Linked DNA regions of Stegostoma tigrinum. Each later gene encodes a partner of the first gene's protein in a complex. Links are inferred from orthologs where the notes say so. Each region holds a gene or a part of one and is shown in the gene's direction. Other genes may lie near its edges.

Region 1 (7,708 bases):
GGCAGCTATTTACAAACCTTCAATGAAAGATGTTATTGCGTTGCCTATCATGTTTTGTCTTTCTTTAAAAAAAAGTTTTCCATTGTCTTTTGAAAGCTTTATGCCAATTCAAAGAATGCATCAGTGCCCAAGTATGAAGACTAAAGAAATAATGTTGGCTATTTACCTAAACATGTCAGCACTTGTGCGTTTCCCACAAGCATAATAGTATAATGGTGTGAAGAGTGTTTTTGTTTTCCTCTTTACATCAGGGAAAGAATGATGACCAATGCCCATACCTAAAATAATGATATTTTAGGGTAAAAAAAAAAACCCTGAAATAACTGAGTTAACACAGTGTGGATCTGGAGGAACACAGCAGGCCTGGCAACATCAGAGGAGTAGGAAAGTTGACATTTCGGGTCAGGATCCTTCTTCAGGAATGGGCACTTTCCTGCTCTTCTGATGCTGCCTGGCCTGCTGTGTTCCTCCAGCTCCACACTGTTATCTTTGACCATCTGTGGATGTTGGAAATCAGAAACAAAAACAGAAATTGATGAAAACGCTCAGCAGATCTGGCAGAATTTATGGAGAGAAATCAGATTAATCAGTTTTGAGTCCAGTGAACATTCTGCGGAACTGATGGTAGCTAGGAAAAGGTTGGGTGGAGAGGAGACCACATCGTAAGCAGCAAGTACAGTAGACAAAATTCAGTGAGGTGCTGGTATATCACTGCTTCACTTCAAGGGTTTGGGGCTTTGGATGGTGAGGAGGGAGTAAGTAAAATGGGTAGGCGCTTGACAATTTGCAATGAATGGAAAGGTGCCATGGCGGTGTAGAGGGAAGGAGGAATGGACTGGGGTGTCCCGGAGGGAATGGGCCTTATGGAAGGCTGTCAAGGGAGAGGAGGGGAAATATGTGTCCTCTACATTGGAGAAACGAAGCTCAGTCTGGGTGACCATTTTGCAGAACACCTACATTCTGTCAGCAAAACGACTCTGAGCTTCCAAATGCCTGTCATTTTAACACACCACCATGTTCCCTGGCCAACATGTCTGACTCGGGCTCGCTGCAGTGCTCCAGCGAAAGTCAGTGCAAGTAGAAGGGCAGCACCTCAGTTTCCCTTTTGGAACTCTGCCACCTTCTGGACTTAATGTGGAGTTCAACAATTTTGGTGTTTCTGCATCTTTTTCCATGTCCTTACCCCAACACCCACACACCAAGGCTTGTCGTTACATGGGCTGCTGCCACACACAACCTGTTATCAGCCATTATAGCCCCCATTAGCAGCTATTCATTCCTTGGGCTGACCTTTATCCACTCCATTGTCTGTCCAACTGTTTTTCTGTCCCTTTGGGTTCAATCTCCGATGAAAGTATTTACTTCCAGCATTTGAGTCCGTGTTACGATGTGTTTCCAGTCCTGTTGTATGAATTCATCACATGACATTAGCTATTACCCTGTGCCCATATATTTGCACCAAAGTTAATTTTTTGTCTGACCTTTGTCTATGCAGTACCAATAGTCGTAGCTATGATGCCAGCTTGCATTTGTGAGTTGATAGTACTCGACATTATTGCTTCACCATCTGCTGGGTTATCCAACCACTTAGCTGACAAGTAACAAAACCAAAGTTAACCTAATTAAACTTTCAGCAAAAACTTCAGACAACAGTCTAATTTCACCTCTTTCTCAAATGCCCAATTTGATGGATGCAACCTCAGAGTCCTGGTTTCAAGTACCATCTTTCGGTCTAAAACCATACTATTCTGTCCCTGAAACATTGCCTGTCTCCATTCTTCTTCACCCCCTTTACCAGTGATGTTCTCTTGTTTCAGATGAACTCCTCATCTGTCCAATCTCTACTCAACCAAAGACTTGCCGTCCATTTATTCCATCAAAAATATCCTCAATAACTTACAATCCTATTTTGGCAATAATGCGAAGGTGCCCTGTGGAAGATAGCAATGGACAAGTCAGGTAGATACAAAAGCTGTGACAGCAATTTAACCTGTAGAACTGCAAGGTGATCTGTTGAGGAGGTCAAACAAGGTAACAGTATGCATACCTGATGAACGAATGAGAAATAGTAGAGTGGAAATAGTCATAGAGACGGACAGCATTGAAATAGCCTTCGGTCTAACATGTGCATGCCGACTAGATATCCTAAATAAATCTAGTTCTGTCTGCCAGCATGTCGCTGATATCACTCTAAACCCTACCTATTCGTATAGCCATCCAGATGCCTTTTAAATGTAAGAACCGAAATAACTGTGGATGCTGTAAATCAGGAACAAAAACAAAGATGCTGGAAAAGCTCAGCAGGTCTGGCAGTATCAGTGAAGGAGGAAACAGAGTTAACGTTTCGGGTCTGGTGACCCATCCTCAGAACTGTTCTGAGGAAGGGTCACTGGACCCGAAATGTTAACTCTTTTCTCCTTCACACATGCTGCCAGACCTGCTGAGCTTTTCCAGAAACTTTGTTTTTGAGCCTTTTAAATGTAATTCTACCAGCCTTCACGTCCTCAGGCAGCTCATTCCATCACGGTCTGTGTTAAAAAGTTACCCCATGTCCCTTTTAAATCTTTTCCCCCTCATCTTAAACCTCGCCTTCTAGTTTTAGACAGCCACACCTCAGGGAAAAGACCATGTCTGTTTACCCTCTTCATGCTCCCCATGATTTTATAAACCTCTATAAGGTCACGGCTCAGCCTCTGACGCTCCAGGGAATATAACCCCAGTCTATTCAGCCTCTCCCTCCAGCTCAAATCCTCCAACCCCGGCAACATTCTTGTAAATATTTTCTGAAACCTTTCAAGTTTCACAACATCCTTCCTGTAGGAGGGGGACCAGAATTGCACACAATATTCCAATAGCGGCTGAAACAATGTCCTGTACAGCCGCATGTCACCTCCCAACTCCTGTACTCAATGCACTGACCACTAAAGGCAAGCAGACAAAATGTCTTTTTCACTATCCTATCTACCTGTGATTCTGCTTTCAAGGAATTATGAACCCACGCTCCGAAGTTTCTTCGGAGGAACTTAAGAAACCTTGCAATGAATATTCACAGAGCTGTCAAGGTGAAAAAAATGCTTTCCTGTAGTATTCAATGTATGGACTATAATAATGGGAACGTTATGCTGGAACCATACATTAGTCCATAATTTGAGTACTGAATGCAGTTTTGATTACTTCATTATAGAAAGAATCCAGTAATTGGAACTGTGTTGTGTGTAACACACCCTCCAGTCCTGGTTTCTGAAGAAGGGTCTTTGACCTGAAACATCAAACTTTCCTGCTCCTCTGATGCTGCTTGGCCTGCTGTGTTCATCCAGCTCTACACTTTGTTATCTCAGATTCTCCAGCATCTGCAGTTCCTACTGTCTCTTTCCAGTCCTGGTTATTTTGTTTATTTATTGTCACATGTATTCTGTTACAAAATACAGTGAAAACTGTAGTATTGCGTTGCTGCTCTCTGGCGCCATCTTAAAACACAGAAAAAAAACAAAACATAGAATATAAAGGCAGAAAAATAAAGTTCAACTTGACAGTCCTTGTAAAGAATTCCGTCATGGGCCTGGAGAGACAAGCTGTTGCTGCATTGCCAGATCAAGAGCCACCATTCTGCGGCGCCATCTTGCTTCTACCGATACTGCAGCCACCATAAGTCTTTGCTGGGCCTCCCCAATGCAGCTGCCACCGATGACGCCAGGGCCTCCATCAGCCCAAACTTTTCTTTGCTGCCACCGCCAAGAGCCCAGCCTGGGTCCACCTGACTGACGCAGCAGCTACAGATGTTGCCAGGTCTCGTACTGGGACCAAATGGGTTAAACAGGAAAATTGCGATAACAAGTGGTTGGAATTTTTGGGAAGGGATCAGTGGGAAAAAGGCACATGATTGAGTCAGAGAATAGGTACACTGCAGTGAGGCTAACAGATATACTTGCCGGAACATGAGTCACCACTCTGTGGCTGAGAATGGCAGTGTATTCAGTGTAAATCACTGTCCAGTCCTGACGGTGGTGGTGCATTAGGCATAACTTGTCTACTCCTGAGAGTCAGGCTGAGTTAGTGTAAAACACGTCGTGTCCTCAGGGTGGTAATATATTGGGCATAAGTCAATCTTCAGTCCTGGGGGGGGGTGTAATGCATTCACGAGTCCTGACGGTGGCAGTGTACTCTGTAATTCACCCTCGAGCCCTGATGGGGCAGTGTATTCTGTGTAATTCATCCTCCGTTCCTGATGGTGGCAGTGTACTCAGTGTAATTCACCCTCTATTCCTGACGGTGGCAGTGTACTCAGTGTAATTCACCCTTCAGGCCTGACGGTGGCGGTGTACTCAGTGTAATTCACCCTCCATTCCTGATGGTGGCAGTGTACTCAGTGTAAGTCACCCTCCAACCCTGACGGTGGCAATGTCCTCAGTGTAATTCACCCGTCAGGCCTGCCGGTGGCAGTGTACTCAGTGTAATTCACCCTCCATTCCTGATGGTGGCAGTGTACTCAGTGTAAGTCACCCTCCAACCCTGACGGTGGCAATGTCCTCAGTGTAATTCACCGGTCAGGCCTGCCGGTGGCAGTGTACTCAGTGTAATTCACCCTCCATTCCTGATGGTGGCAGTGTACTCAGTGTAATTCACCCTCCAACCCTGACGGTGGCAATGTCCTCAGTGTAATTCACCGGTCAGGGCTGCCGGTGGCAGTCTTGCCCAGGCGGCGCCCCCTACTGGTTGGAGGTCCATCCTGCGCCCTCCTGCCGGCCGCGGCCTGAAGAAGCGGTTATACCCCCCAGCCCGGGCGCTGCTTGCTCGCCAGCTCCGACATGGCGATGCACAACAAGGCGCAGACCCCACAAATTCCGGACACCCGGCGGGAGTTGGCTGAGCTGGTCAAGAGGAAGCAGGAGCTGGCGGTATGTGAGCCTCGGATGGATGGGGGTGGGGAAAGCAGCGGGTTCGGCGGGAACCGGAGCCAGTGCTCGAGGCCGGGGAGGCTCAGGCAGGAAAAGCCGGGGAGAGCCTGGGCCGCAGCGGGTCGGGGAGGCGGTTGAGGACGATGTCAGGGCCATGTGGTTGGTGGGGGGGGTTGGCCCCAGGTCTGGTACTTAGGAGATAGGGAGAGTTATCCAGTGACCCTCCACTTGTGTGTGGTGGTGGGGGGGGGGGAGGAAAGGGTGATGTTGGAGCTGGTGTCCCTGCCCTGGGGCATCAACAGCGGGCACCCTGGGTGTGGGCTTGTGTCATATCGGACAGACCTGCAGGAGTGGTGTGCATGTATTTGTTGCTCATGTCCCTCTTGTCACACGCCGCACAGTGAGACATTATTCTCGCTTACACTGTTGTTACGGTCAGTGTAGAATGTGTGGGGTGTCCCAGCCTTGTCAACACAGAGAACCACCGCTTTCTCCGTTCAAGGCTACATTGAGCTTTATTTTTTTTTCCCCCAGGCTTTGTTGGGCAGAGTGGGAATTTCAGTTTCCTCCCCCAGCGACAGATCTAGTAGGGTGGAGAGCTGAACTGCTGGGATTGCAAACTCTGAAACAGCGATCCGGTGTGACACAAATATATGCAAGTGTCGGTTTATCTGCAGCTGAGTGAGGGACATTGACAAAGATTTTTACTTGCAACAACTTTTATTTTCCTGTGCAGGATTCTCAGTGATGGGTTTGTGTGGTCCCTGTTTATGTTTTTGTGTGTTTGCTGTGACTGCCATAATTGGTGAAGTATGCAAGGTGGAAAATATGGGTATGCAGCTTGTAATAGTGCCACATTCAGAGATCAAGGTAAAGCCGTAGATATTTGGTATGAATCGTTATTAATAGATGTGAAAAGAGAGAAATCAGTGTGAGACGATTTGGGCAATTTGAGGCTCCTGTTGCACTTGTCGAATGTGGCATCTGAGTATATGTTCATTGACCTTGTTTACTCATGGGATGTTGAGCTTCCTTTGGCACCTCATTCAGGACCACCAGTTTGGTTCATTGCATCGATCTCTACCTCTACTTACCTTTTGAACCTTGTCTGGGGGCAGGGATGGGGTGCCTCCTGGCCTCTGGTGATACAGACCACCTTTCCACTGCCTTCACCAGAATGTCCTGTGAGGCATCTGAAAGTCACAAGCTTTCTTTCTCCTCTCTTATGCCATTACGCTTCACGAGGTCAGAAGCTCTTTGCCTATGACTCTTAGCATCTTTTCCAATCCCAGTACACAAAAGTGCAGTACAAGCTTTGTATGTGCTCGCCACTTGTGCTTTTGACTCTGCTAATGCATTCAACTAGTGCACGAAGTGATTAGCAATGATTGGTTATACACAGAAATAAATCCAAATGAACAGGCAGCACAAAGTTTAAATCAAAGCAAAATACTGTAGATTCTGAAAATCTGAAATAACCACTGAAAATGCTGGAGAAAGTCAACAGGTCTGGCTGCATCTGTGGACAGAGAAGCAGAGTTAAAGTTATGAGTTTGGGGTGACATGTTTATTCTAAAGAGGCCTATTGTATTCAAGATGTTTACTCTGTTCTCTGTGTAGACCTGTTGAGTTTTTCCAGCATTTTCTTTGTAACTCAAAAGGTTGTAATTACATTACAAATAACACATACTGGCTAATGGTACATCACAATTCCTGTGTCTGATTTTCAAAACTAACCAGTTTAGCTCCAATTGTTGTGAATCCCAACAAAAAGCATTCATTCTCTTTCTTTGTCCAACTGTTTTTCATAATTCTTTGAAATAAACATTACAACAAATCTTCATAGCAGGTCATTTTTCTTCCCCAGCAGTTTGATAAATATTTTTGTAACTTTTATTTCCACAGGAGACTTTGGCAAACCTGGAACGTCAGATCTATGCTTTTGAAGGAAGCTATTTGGAAGATACACAAATGTATGGGAATATCATTCGTGGATGGGATCGTTACTTGACCAATCAGAAGTACGTGTATTGACTTTGTGTTAATAGAGCTGTCAAAGTGACTCAACCGAAACAAATTTGGCAAATTTTCGAGTCCATTCCTGTATAATTCACAGGCAATATTATTTCACTTTTTAAAGTCTGCTTTTTGAAATGTTGTTAATTTACTGCTGGAATGGACATTTTGCTTATCATACTTTTCAAACAAATGGATGAAAAATTTTGCGTTGTGTGAATTTAAATAGTTTTGATTTTACTTTCTGAGGCCAACTGTTGTACATTGAACTTTCAGAATTCTCAAAAATAAATGCAGACAGTTCTGTACATTAAAAAAAAGTAATGAATACACCTAAATAGGGTTTCTAGTAACCTGTTCCTAAACATACACTGAAGTACATAGCTGAGTTGTGGTGGTCTCTGGATGAGTCTCTGATTCCTATCATGTTAACTCACCTGAAGATGTGTTATTACTTGGGACCCCTACAGTTGGCGTTGTCAACTCTGAGTGAAGGCCAGGGAGTGGTACGCCAGGACTTTTGCTGAACACCGTGTGCTGACTGTTCCTGGAACGTACATCTGTGTAGAGTTATAAAGTCATACAACATGAAAACAGTCCATGCCAACCATGTTCGTAAACTAAACTACTCCCACTTGCCTGCGTTTAGCCCTTCTTCTTTCATATTCTTTCATATTCATGTACTTAGCCAAATGTCTTGTATCCACCACTTCCTCTGGCAGTTCCTTCCACACATAAACCATAAAAAAAGGATCAGTTGAAATCCCCACAAGTTAACAATTTACTGACATTAACGA
Region 2 (6,879 bases), on another chromosome or scaffold:
AGTAGAAAAATTGTTTCTTTCTTAGAGTTGCTATATAAGTACTTTAATATGAATAAGTTCAGTGGAATTTTTTTTCATTGTAGTTGTGGTGATTAACCAAAGGCGGCTTAGAGGAAATGCAAGAATTTACAAATTATTTTCTTTACATGTGGAATCTTTTAATTTTATTTAAATTGGGAACACACTGCTTGTTTTCTCCACCATTCTTTATTTTGTATCAAAATTGAGTAATAAAATTAAAATGCATTACAGGTTGGGAGGATGTTTTCAAGATCAGAAAAAGGAGTGAACTTAATCTAAATGTAGTTATTTAACACCAAAGATACAATATATAAAACAGGTTTTCCACAGTCAGTTAATTTAGATAGTATTGCCAAACACAAATGCAAGTTTTTTTGTTAGGTATTGTTTTAGCAAAACATATTATGTTTTAAAAATATTGTATGGGATGTGGACAACATAGAAGTGGGAATTTGAAATACAAACAGATCAGCTATGACCTTATTGAATGGGAATGCAAGTTCAAGGGGCCAAATGGCCTGCTGCAGCACCTATTTTGTTTGTTTATATATTGAACCATCCTTCATAACTTGGAGTAATTCTGAACATAGGATGTAGGGAAGATCATTGGTGTGGCTAAGGACTGCTCTGAGAAATGCCTCAGTAAAAATAGGGATCATTGGAGAAATTACTCTGACTACAAGTTGACAAATCCTTAGGACCCAATGACCTTCGCCCTAATGTTGAGGTGGATGGCTAGAGATAGTGGAAGCATTGGGAATCATCTCTCAAATTCTACTAATTATATAATGATGCCTGCCTGCCTCTATAACAAATGTAACCCCATTGTTTAAGGAAAGTAGGGAAGAGATGACACAGAACTAGATGTTAGTTTGACATAAGTAATTGGGAAAATAAAGGATGTGATTACTGAATATTTAGAAAATCATCATCTGATTAGACAATGTGTAGCTATGAATGAAAGATCATGTTTGACAAATCTGATAAAGAGTATTGTTCATATTATTAGCAAAGTTGATTAACAGGAACCAGTGGGTGTGGCTTTCGTTTGAACTTTATTAAAAAAATTCCTGAAAACTCAACACAGGTCAGTAATCAAAATTTAAAGGTGCATGATATTGGAGGGAATATATTAGGATGGACTGAAGATCAGTCAACAGGCAGATGAAGTAACTCCCCTGGGGTCCAGTATCCAGTCACCAAGTCACCTTTATTTCTATATGGAGAACCCTTGACACTGATCCAGCTCCCTCAAACAGTTCTCAATTAACAGGACACTCCTGTTTATAATCTATGTACTAGGGCTCCTTGGCTGGACCAGAGTAACAGCCCCAGTCAGGGAACTAAGGTCCACCTGGCTGACCTTGTTACAATCTCTGCTATAATCTGAGGACATGGGCCCATTCTTATACATTTTAGCACCAGGTCAGGTTCCTCCAACTCTGCCTCTGGTATGGACAATATGTAATACACAGGTAGCTCACCTCTTACACGTGGACAATTTCATAAGAAATGCATTTTCTTCACCTAGCAAAGGGATTGAGGCAGTGATATACACTATGTCCATCTCAGATTCTTGGGTATTTTCACCTCTTGATGGCAAGCAAGACCCCTGGGGTTTCAGAACAGTCAGTAAGGCTGTCGAGAAGCTGGGCACATTTTGCTCCCACACTGTTAGCTTTCATATGATCCACATGGTCATTCAAGACCATCACACACTAGTCCATTCTGCAATCACCAACATCACCACATGCATCCCAAACCATGGCACCTTCCCAAGTAACTGCAGAAAGTGCAACATCTGCCTCTTCACCTACTCTTTGCTCATTATCCAAGGGCCTAAACAGTCTTCCCAGGTGAAGCAGCATTTCACCTGTACCTCCTCCAATCTTGTGCATTGTATTCTCTGCACCCAGCATAGTCCCTTCTACATTAGGGAAACCAAGCACAAACTGGGTGACTACTCTGCAGAACACCTTGGGTTTCTGCACAAGCATGACCCCAAACTTCCCATAGCCAGCCATTTTAACACCACATCCTGCTCACATGCCTGCATGTCAGTCCTCAGCATGTTGCAGTATTCTAGTGAATCACAACGTACACTGGAGGAACAACATCTCATCCTATCTTCAGAATAGGTATCTTACAGCCTTCTGGACTTTACACTGGGTTCATCACCTTCAAACTATGAACCATTTCTTCCATTTTAGCATGTTGCATTCTGCTACCATGTCCTCTGTCCGGTAATCTCACGTTAGTGGGACTGTCAGCCCTTTCAAGTCCGGCAGGAGACACACCATTGTTCTGCCATTCTAACCACTTAACCTAAACTACCAAGATTTTTTTTCCTCTACTAACATTCCAAATCCACGACCCCCACAACCCACCTTAGCCTAAACTATGGCTTAAATGCTGTCCCCTACGCTCTCCAGCTCTGAAGAAGACATTTAGACTCAAAACGTTAGCCTGACCCAAATACTACGTTACCTATCCCATTCTATGATTGTGCGCAGCGTTAATTCAACTATTAAAAAAATGAGAAAGAGCTAGGTCTTTCAAAAGCTGAGCTGTATGCATCTGTGGTGTCAGCACCCGTTTTGTCACCCTGCTATCAAAATTTGATTTACCGCTAAACGCTCCAATATCTACTTTTCTCACACCGCCCAGGCCATAGTGAATCGTAATCCATTCATCCTACTAAGATTTTTTTTAACGCAAGTTATCAGGCTTATCAACTTATTGGCCAATAGGAATCACGTGATAGATCATTTGGCCATACTCTCATTGGTTAATTGTAATCATATAGCACGATCTCCCGCGTTTTTTTAATAATTGGTTGAGACTTTTTGCACTTTTGGTGCTATTCTATGCTCAGTCGGAGCAGGAGTGTTTCGTGCAGTAGTGGACTTCGACTGAAGCTGCGAGGCTGATCAAACTTGTTGCATTATGCATTTCCCTTCATTCGTGTAACCACAATTTATTTCCATTACGAGGAATTTTCCAACCAGCCAAGCAAAACAACCAACTGCTGTCCTCAACAATCGTTGGTTTGCAACTCCAGTAATTTGACACATTCGGAACATTTCAAGTACCCTAGTTTATTTATAGACAATCTTATGGCAATTTTAATTCAAAATCGAAGCGATAAAAACACGGCCGAGGCGGGAAGAATTAAGTATAAACACTTTGAAGGCAAAAGATAACATGTACAATCCGTAGTGGTACTTTGAGGTGATAATTTTCTTCCACTTTTGCGAATGACCTCTGGTTGTCTTAAGTGTGGCAATCCCCCAACCTTGGGTTTCAAAAAGTAACTTTTTTTTCAGGCCTCGGTAAACTGTTCCTGGGGATTTTTAAATGGGAGCGTTTGGTTCTGCAATAGCCTCACACTTTACTGCTAACATGAAGTAGGAACAGCGGGAGAGATGGATAACGCTCGATCTTTCGCTTAGCGAGGGGGGAGAACAGAAAAATAGCGTTTGTGCAGGGGGAGGGAAGCACCGCCCGCCCGTTATTCGAAGCCTAGCAAAAATGCAGTCAGATTCAAGGGGGAGCGGCCAGTCGCTGATGTGGAGGAGCGGGGACGTTGTGTTTGTGTGAGAGAGTAGGGGCAGCACCCACCCCAGGCTGAATCTCCCCATTCCCGCACCCCTCCTCTCGCGCGCGCGCCCCCCCCCCCCCCCCCGGTTGCTGCCCCTGCACGGGGTTTCCGCGATCGCTCGGGTCATGCGCAGGGGCGTGTCCGGCCTCTGATTGAAAAGAGTTTTTTTTCTCTTCCACCAAACCCCCCCAACTCCCCTCCCCCCACACCAGTAACACCACCACCCACAACCCCCTCCCCCCCGTCCCCAACAACAGCGGCAAAAGGTTCGCGTTTCTACCGCTATCTTACGTACTGTTCCTCGCACTCAAATCTCCATTAAAAGTCCGCCTTTCTCGCCCTGACACATTTGCGGGCGCAATATGAAGCGCTCCGTACCAAGAAGACGACATATTAAGCGTTGAACCGTGGGCACGGAACGGCATTTACCAGGCGCTTCGGTGCTATTTGTAATTATTTGTGTCCCGGAAAGTGATTTCGCTTCCCCCCCCCTTCTCTGCCTCTCCCTGCCCGACTTTGCATTCAAGGTAAATGGCGTTTGTTTTTACGCGTTTCTGGATATTCGGTTATTTGCGGGTTGGAAAGTGAAGCCGTGAGCTTTTGGGTCGCGCCGCTGCCATCGGCCGCGAGTGAAACGCACTCAGATAAGCCGTTAGAGGTCTGTAATTAATATGCTTTGGCGGGGGGGGAATGGAGAAGGTCGCTTGTTGTGGAAATAGTCGCCATCTTGTTCTACAGTAAATTCTCTCCGTCCAGCCGAACTGGGGTGGAGCCAAGCACGGTAAGTCCCGCCTTCTCCAATTGGTCAGTCGAGGGTAAGCTGTTTCTTGATTGGCGCTGAGTGAAGATGAACCCTGGCGTCTATTGGCTGGAGCGCCTATCAATTTTGCACGCGCCTATTAGTGGGTCGGTTGAGTCGTTGCTTGGTGTAGGCTTTGGGGGAGGGGGCGAGTGTATTGATGGTGGGTCGGTTGATGAAAAGAGATTCTAGAAAATTCTTCGTGCTGTTTGGGAGGGAGGTGGCGAGGGGTTCACGCCGGGAGTGGAGGGGTGGTTTGCTGAAACATGGTTTCAGGTGGGTGTTATTGTTTAGGGGTTGAAGTATACATTTGTTGGGGGGGGGTGGGGAGGGGAGAGAGTTGGAAAGGTATGGGAATATGAGCCTTATGGCGGCTGGACTAGGTGTCCATTGCTGCCAAGAGGGACTTTCAAATGGGCCCGGGAAACTAGTTTGCTGCGGTGACGTCAGCCACCTTTTGAACCCCCTCCCCGTCTCGACGTCATCGAACAGCTGAGCTGGCACGAGTGTCCAGTTGAGTTGGTGTCAGAGCCCGACACAGTGCAATGGGGGAAACAGACAAAGGACTGAGTTGGGGTCCTCCGGCCACGTCAACAATGTCCAACCCCTAGTAATGTGACAGCGGGGTCTAACTTGTGGAATAAAGTACACCATTAGTACCTACTATACATGAACCGGACACGTTCAGCGGTAACCCGATTTAAATCGAGCGCCCGTTTTCGCGCAGTGTCTTCTGCTCACGAAGGACTTGTGATGTCTTGAACGCTCGAGTTTTGTTTTTGGGCCTTCTTTTCATTTGTATTTCGTTTCATTTCGTTTGTAGTGAGGTAAACAAAATGAACAGGCAATTCAGAACATGTACAGCCCGTACTTTAAATAAAATAATCCAGATTTATTGATAAATAGCGACGTTAATGGGATCCTGGACCTAAGTAAATTTGAATGAAGTGGCTAAGTTCGTAAAATCTCTGTACAGATGTCATAAGCAGTTCGATTTACTATTTTACTGACGATTTGTATTGATGGGCAAAGCAACATGTTGTAGAAGATATTTCAAAATAATATAAACCAATTGAAACTCCTTTTTTCTGACTTTTGCTCATGATTTTTAAAAAAAATCTATGCGAGTAACTGAATTATGTTTCAAAGAATCTTTTGCTTGAAAGGAGTGCCTTAGCTATTGAATGCGAAGAAAACAAGATGTAGAGCTGGATGAACACAGTAGGCCAAGCAGCGTGAGATGAGCAGGAAGGCTGACGTTTTGGGCCTAGACCCTTCCTCAGAAACCTTCTGCTCCTCTCGCTGCTTGGCCTGCTGTGTTCATCCACCTCTACATCTTGTTATCTCAGAATCTCCAGCATCTGCAGTTCCTGTTATCTATTGAATGCTAATATGTCTTTTTAATCATTTCTAAAGTACTTAACTGAATTGTGCAAACAACTTGTGTATATGGCTTTTAAACTTTTTTTGTAGTGAGAGGTTCTAGAAATAATATCCTGTGCAGAAATCACTGGGAAGTATTCCTTTATTTTAAAAGTAATATAAAGTATTTACTTATCTCCATTTCTGCTCTGCATTGGTGGTGGTAGTAGTGTCTTTAGTTGTGAGCTAGAAGGCCTCTTGCATGATTAAAATCTGAACAGATTGATTAGAAAAGTCTGTAAAACACTGTAACTTGCAAAAAGCCATCTGCAACAATGTATATCATGTGATCCATTTGCCCAACAATGTTTCCTACATCTGTGAATTACCTCTAGTTATTTATATTAAGAAGGAAATTGTGAAAATAGAGATCTCTACGTTTGCAAGTCAATTAATTTATAGTGTTAATGAAATAACTGGATTTTAATATGCCAATACAAGTACAGTGTAGTTGGTGCAACAACAAAAACATTCCCCTCTTTGATTTCCTGCTCGAGGTTGTGTTTGGTTCCGATACTTGGATGTAGAGTATGAAGAGAATTTCTGTTTGCCTTTCAGTCTGATTTTTTGTGATGTTTTCCTTCAGCTGTTTTATTTTTTGATAGAGAAGTAGAAAGGTTTAGTCAACATTTTATGACCTGTTTGTAACTGCTTGTGACTACATGTATGCTATAAGTAGAGAAAAATCAGAAAAATCAAAGGCATCATTACTACCCCGTTCTGAATGCTGAAGTTAAAACTTTAATAGCCATGTGCTGTGCTATGGATTGTAAGTACTGTTGCAATTTTTAACATGTTGGAAAATTTTCTTCTTCGCACTAAATGGAAGTGACTTTGTTAGAGATGCTGATTAGACATTTTAAGTTGAACAACTGTGATTTTTACATATAAGATAGATGCATGATATGCGTAGGTGTGTATAGTTTATCAAACAGGCCTGGGTTTGCAGATTAAAGGATAAGTCCTGTTGAGTTTTTGTGATGGTGGTGAGAAGTTTTCATACTCGGGATTATAGTGATCGTTCTGTCTGTTGAGG

The links.
Region 2: meaf6 (region 1) and bromodomain and PHD finger-containing protein 3-like share a complex: the UniProt entries of both Homo sapiens proteins name them as parts of the MOZ/MORF complex. The link is inferred for Stegostoma tigrinum from reciprocal best matches to the Homo sapiens genes MEAF6 and BRPF3.

The regions. Positions count from the first base shown.
Region 1 is NC_081377.1:12,577,762-12,585,469, reverse strand, and holds the start of meaf6 (chromatin modification-related protein MEAF6), read left to right. Parts: upstream 1-4,704; 5' UTR 4,705-4,805; coding exon 4,806-4,895; intron 4,896-6,800; coding exon 6,801-6,916; intron 6,917-7,708.
Region 2 is NC_081374.1:26,928,534-26,935,412, reverse strand, and holds the start of bromodomain and PHD finger-containing protein 3-like, read left to right. Parts: upstream 1-3,866; 5' UTR 3,867-4,149; intron 4,150-4,297; exon of another isoform or gene 4,298-4,403; intron 4,404-4,629; exon of another isoform or gene 4,630-4,697; intron 4,698-6,879. UniProt on the Homo sapiens protein: Scaffold subunit of various histone acetyltransferase (HAT) complexes, such as the MOZ/MORF and HBO1 complexes, which have a histone H3 acetyltransferase activity.